Oryctolagus cuniculus: one gene and its partner. The protein of the gene in region 2 interacts with the protein of the main gene of each other region in a pairwise test. Links are inferred from orthologs where the notes say so. Each region holds a gene or a part of one and is shown on either strand. Other genes may lie near its edges.

Evidence for each region.
Region 1: the proteins of HAP1 (region 2) and HMOX2 interact in a two-hybrid assay, tested with the Homo sapiens proteins (2 studies listed by BioGRID and IntAct). The link is inferred for Oryctolagus cuniculus from reciprocal best matches to the Homo sapiens genes HAP1 and HMOX2.

What each region holds. Positions count from the first base shown.
Region 1 is NC_091450.1:31,090,464-31,093,100, forward strand, and holds part of HMOX2 (heme oxygenase 2), read right to left. Parts: intron 656-2,637; coding exon 538-655; intron 130-537; coding exon 1-129.
Region 2 is NC_091448.1:20,964,829-20,968,321, reverse strand, and holds part of HAP1 (huntingtin-associated protein 1), read right to left. Parts: coding exon 3,399-3,493; intron 3,266-3,398; coding exon 3,166-3,265; intron 3,089-3,165; coding exon 3,022-3,088; intron 1,890-3,021; coding exon 1,759-1,889; intron 1,150-1,758; coding exon 970-1,149; intron 833-969; coding exon 741-832; intron 448-740; coding exon 409-447; intron 1-408. UniProt on the Homo sapiens protein: Originally identified as neuronal protein that specifically associates with HTT/huntingtin and the binding is enhanced by an expanded polyglutamine repeat within HTT possibly affecting HAP1 interaction properties.

The DNA of each region.
Region 1 (2,637 bases), on a different chromosome or scaffold from region 2:
CTTGGTCAGTGCCTCCTTCCGGTGCAGCTCCATGGGGAAGTATAAGGGGGCAAAGGCTGGGTGGTCCTTATTGCGGTCCATTTCTTCCTCCAAGGCTGAATATGTGAAGTAAAGTGCGGTGGTGGCCAGCTATTGGGGGGAGGGAGAGACACTGTTGGAATGTGCTGCAGGTTGGCCAGCAGTGCCCAGACTCACCGTGTTTGAACAGCTACAAAGGAGCAGGCAACACGCACCATCTAGCTCCTGAAGACCCAAGCCTGACTCGTTTTAATACAGTGAATTATTTAACATGCTCAGGAAGCTTTCGTGTCACAGGAAAAACATGATGAATTATTTGGGATATGGATGCTTTTGTTTCCTTTATGTCATTATGTCATTCCACTTAAGCCATGAGGAGAGGCACAGCTTACTGCCAAGAAAGTACGGAGCATGAAGAATGGCCCAGTTGCTCCCTTAGAGCAATTCCTTGGGACTAAAGTCCCCAACCTGACCCTGTGAGGCTGGAACCCACCCGCATCTGTGACTGACAGCACAAACCTTAAATATCTCCTTCTTAATGTTGCCTTTCAAGAAGTCCTTGACAAACTTGGTATTTTCTGCCCGGTCATGTGCTTCCTTGGTCCCTTCCTTCAGGAGCTCAGAGAGATCAGCCATTCTGTTGGGAGATGGGAATACAGGTGAGAGTATGTGACAGAGAAAATAAGAGTAAGTCCTTCCTAACTCTGGGTGGAAAGACCAGCCAGTCCCCAAGGTGGCCACTTGCTGCTCAGACACTTCATTCCAGCACCAGCAGCACAGCCTTGTCGGGGAGTGCAGGGTGAGCAGACAAGACAGTCTGTCCCAAGGACATGCGATGACTGGCCTGCTCCTCAAAGCACATGTACCTCGACTGGGGCAAGTGTTGTGGCACAGCAGGTTAACCACCACTTGGAACACCCACATCCCACATCGGAGTGCTAGGTTGAGTCCCAACCCCACTTTGGACCTAGCTTCCTGCTGGTGTACCTGGGGAGCAGCTAAGTCCTTATCACCCACAAGGAGAGCCAGGCTCCTGGCTTTAGCCTGGCCCAACCCACCCACTGTGACCATCTGAGCTGTGACCCCATGGACGGAAGATCTGTTCTTCCCAACCTCCTGCCACTCTACCTTTCAAATTTATCTTTAAAAAAAAAAAAAAAAAAAAAAGAACCACTGGGGGGCCGGTGTTGTGGCATGGCAATTTAAGCCACCACATTCAATGCCAGCATCCTACATGGGGGCCAGTTCAAGATCCAGCTGCTCCACTGCTGACCCAACTCCCTGCTAATGGCCTGGGAAAGCAGCAGAAGATGGCCCAGTGCTTAGGCCCCTGTACCCAAGTGGGAGACCTGGATGAAGCTCCTGGCTTTGGCCTGGTCCCAGCCCTGGCCATTGCAGCCATTTGGGGAGTGAACCAGCAGACCGAAGATCTGTCTCTCCTCTCTCTGTAACTCTTTCAAATAAATAAGTTGGGGCCAGTGCTGTGGCATAGCAGGTAAGGCTACCACCCACAGAGCCAGCATCCCATATGGGCGCTGGTTCAAGTCCCAGCTGCTGCACTTCCAATCCAGATCTCTCCCATGGCCTGGGAAAGCAGTAGAGGATGGCCCAAGACCATGGGCCCCTGCACCTGCACGGGAGACCTAGAAAAAGTTCCTGGCTCCTGGCTTTGGATCAGCACAGCTCTGGCCATTGCAGCCAACTGGGAAGTGAACAAGTGAATGGAAGACCTTTCTCTGCCTCTCCTTCTCTGTGTAACTCAAATAAATAAATAAATCTTTAAATAAGTAAGTCTTTAAAAAACCAAAACACTGAATCATGCTTTGTCTCTGTGGCCACCTAGTGGCTGAAGAAACCACCTCTACTCCCATCAGTGTTCCTGGCTTCTATAGCCTGGCCTTTGGGAATGGCTCAGATGCTGCAGCCATAAAGGACTGTGATTGGGGGCTGCTACTGTGGCACAGTGACGCAGCGGGTTAAAGCACCAGCACTGTAGGCATCCCATATGGGTGTCAGTTCAAGTCCCGGCTACTCCACTTCTGATCCAGCTTTCTGCTATTGGCCTGGGAAGGCAGTAGAAGATGGCCCAAGTCTTTGGACCCCTGCACCTGTGTGGGAGACTTGGGAGAAGCTCCTGGCTCCTGGTTTCTGCTCTGGCCGTTGCGATCATGTGTGGAGTGAACCAGTGGATGGAAGACTTCTCTGTAACTCTTTCAAATAAATAAATTTTTTTAGAAAAGAGGGGTGGGGACTGACTGTGAAGGCTGGGACAGTCCTTGGGTATGCTGCTGAACAAAATCACACAGGAAGTAAGTGTTGTTTCTGTACTTATAGAATGCTTCTGTGTGTACCTCACTACCTTTGCATCTGATTAACTGCATTGCTGGTTTCCATGGCAACAGAAATGAAGTTAATTAAGATCAGGAAGTTAGAATCAGAGAAAAATAGTATTTAACAAAGTCACATCATGTACATTTAAATTAGTTTCTTTTTAAAAAAAATGTTTTGGAGTAGAAAAAATATCAGGCGGCCGGCGCCGCGGCTCACTAGGCTAATCCTCCTCCTTGTGGCGCTGGCACAACGGGTTCTAGTCCCAGTAGGGGCGCCGGATTCTGTCCT
Region 2 (3,493 bases):
GGAGCTGGGTACCAGCTTCAAACACACAGCCCCCAACACAGCCCAGCCTTCTCCCTCCCTCACTTCACCCCACCGAAGAGCCCAGCAGGACCAACCGTCCCTCCGCCTTCACAACCCACCCCACAGCTGGTTGCCATGGAACAAATCCATTGTCCTAAGGCTCAGACAGGCCAAGACACTGGCTGTGGGACTTCCAGCCAGCAATGGGATGGGACCAAGCTGGGGACTGAGTCCCAGATGTCCCCAGTTCCTAGGTCAGCGTTTCTTCCCCTCTCAGCCCCTGGACACAACCTTAAAGCAGACAGCTTCCTGGGGGCAAGCTTCAAAGGAATGGGGGCCACTCCCTCCCACAACTCTCCTTGCCGCGCCGGCTGCAGGCAGTGACGCGGAGGCCCCTGGCCAGCTTACCCCTGGTTTGGTGTCTCCCCCCTGGCCCTTCTGGAACTCCTGCAACAGAGAGAAGTGGGCACAGAAGCAATGTAAGCTGGAACCACAAACGCCCTGGTGCCCTGTCGTGCCAACAAGTCCCAGGGAAAACCGATGGATCTGCCTCTCCCCACCAAAAAAAAAAAAAAAAGATGGATCCCACACCACACGAGTATGGGAGGGGCTGAGAGAGGGAGGGAGGCAGGCGCCGAGCACGAAGGCCGCCCCCCTCCCACGACAGGAAAGGCTGCTGCCCACAGGACGGACGAGGCTGAGTGTGGGTCAGGCAAGGGGCCGGGGTCCCAGCAACACACCTGTCGGTAAAATACGTGGGGTCTGAGACCATCCTCCCGATAGATATTTTGAGCTCATCAACCAGGGACGCCGGAAGGCCAGAAAGTGCTCCCTACGGCCAACAGGGGGGACATTACCAGGGGACCCCACCGCACCCCCACTCACACCCCCAGGCACAGAATGCAGCTGACAGGGCTGAGACGCAGGGCCCACAGAGGTAAAGAGGCAGCCCCCTGGAGGGGTCCTCACCAGCGGCAGGCTGTACGCGAAGTGGGTGACCGACCCGGTGGACATCGGGGGCTGCGGGCGGAAGGTCTTCGCCTCCTCCTGGCGTGTGGCCCTGCAGTCCGAGTACTTGTCCCGCACGTCGTGCAGCTGCTGGGACCCACGTGCGTCCAGCCCAACACTCTTGCCTGCCCTGGCCCTAGGCTAAAAGGCAAGAAGCCCAGGCTCTAGACCCAAACAGCAATTCCCTGAGCTACCACCCGCTGCACCCTGGGCCACACACAGAGGGAAGAGCAAAGGACAGGACCCAGTCCCTCCTGCAGGCTGCTCTTCCTCTAAGGAGAGCCAGATGGCTGCCGGGAGCCTCAGTCCCCACCCGACCCGGGGCCTGGCGGGGCAGGGGCAGGGCCAGCAGCCTGGGCAGCCTCACCTCTGCATTCCCTTCTCTGAAGCCAGCGGCTCTGTCTCAGCCCCATACTGGAAGGACCTGACCAGTAAGCCCCTCCCGAGGCCCGCACGGCACCCCGGCCCCCCGCAAGGCGACCCCGGGCTGCATTTTGGGCAGCCCTGCAGTTAGAAGCCACACGGGAGGAGGGCAGATTAGGTCGGAGGGCTGTGCGGCCTGGCTCCTGGAGCCTCTAGACCCTCCTCAGGACAACGAGGCGCTGGGATGAGTGTCTCCTTGACGTCCCCTCCAGCTCTGACTCACACGGAGAGGGGCCCAGAGCCCCACGAGGCAGGGGCAGGGAAGAGGCCTGGGCCCCCAGGGGCCATGCCACGGGGAGGAAGCTCCCCACGCCCGCCCGGGCTCACCGACTGGCAGCGCTGCTGCAGCCTCGCGATCTGGGCCTGCAGCTGAGTGATCTCCTTCTGCTGCCGCTCATAGTTTTCCAGCCGGAGCACCAGCACCTCGGACAGCTCGGCCATCTGCTGGCTGGCCTCAGCTGCGGGAGGGGGCAGAGGTCAGAGGTCACCCACCCCTCAGCTCCCGAGGGCTCAGCATCCCCTCCCCACCCCCGCCAGAGCTGCTTCTCCTGATCCGCCTCTGGGTACCGTGCAGGGTACTGGGGCCAGTGGTCAGCAAGGCCTGGTCCCAGCCCACACTGTGCTTGTCTAGTAGGGGACAGCTGGGGAAAGAAACTCACAATAACAATCTACATAGGTTATGATGGAGCAAAGGTCAAGGGGAGGTCGTGGGGAGGGGGGCAAAGGTCAGGGAGGAGGGGTCATAACTGTAGCACACAACCCAGCCTGCCAAGGCCCAGGTAGGGTTCCTGCGAGAAGGAACCACTGAGCTGAGCTCACAGGGCAGAGGCTTGGCCAGGCAAAGAAGGGAAGACACCGGCCAGGCCCAGAGGGAACCGCGTGGGTCTGGCTGGGGCAGCGGACAGGGCCCAGAGCACAAAGCCTGGGAGTTAGCAGGAGGAGTGACATGGTCAGATCTGGTTTTAGAAGACTCAGCTAGGCTGTGTGCAGAAGGGTCTGGAAGACCCAAAGCGTTCCAAGGGGGCAGCTAGTGATTTTCCTGGGCTAAAGGCAGCCGGAGCCCAGAGGAGCAAGGAGACTTGAGGCCGTTCCTGGGAGCAGAAGCAGCAGAAACTGGGGGCTGGCTCCTTCCCCAGGGGAGCTGGGAAGGTCAGGTTCAGGGTGAGGGGACAACAGGAGTTCAACCACTGGCACCGAGGCCTGCATCTCCCAGCTGGACCAGAGGCTCGGGGCCAGGGCAGTGTGGAGTCTGCCCCGGTGTGCCTGGCCTCTGGCAGCTCGTGGCTCCCTCCTGGCTACCTCCAGTAGATGAGCAGCCCCAGGGCCCTGCAAAGCCCGTTACACGTTGCACAAAGCACTCCCTCAGCTGTTGCCTCTGGGGATTCTCATAAGCCCTGAGGGATGGGGGCAGGACTATTAACCCCACCCCACACCCCCTTGTAAAGAAGAAGGCTCAGAGAGGTCAAGGAACCATCCGAGCCCACACAGCTAGGAGGTGCCAGGGCTGGGGCTTGAAGCTCAGGCTCTAGAACGCGGGTGCCTCCCTGCACTCCTGGGGCAGCCCCCAGCCCAGGCTGCACCCGCACGTACAAAACTGCTCCACGCACTCCAGGATGAGCATCTGCTCCTCGTCCTCCAGGGTGTCCAGGTGAGAGGCCTAGAGGGAGGGAGTGAGGAGGGGGCAGGGCGTCAACAGCGCCCGCCCCCAGGGCCTGCCCTCCCACCCAGCCTCACCTCCTCCCGAAGCTGGTCATTCTCCTCCTCCAGCAGCCTCAGCTTCCGCTGCAGGGCCTCCAGCTGTGGGCAGTGGTGCAGCGACTCCTCCGGAGAGGGCCTGGGGGATGCAAGGGAGTCAGGGTGCGGGGCGTGGGGCCCGGCTCCCAGCCAGCCATGGCCTCTCCAGCAGGGCTAGGGGTGCAGCCTGTGCGTCCCAGCTGTGCACATCCGGGCAAGGGGAGGATGCTCACGGCCTGGGGTCGTCATAGGGATGGTCATGCCTCCGAGCCTCCTCTTCCTCCTGTTCCTCTTCTTCCTCCTCTTCCTCCTCCTCCTCCTCCTCCTC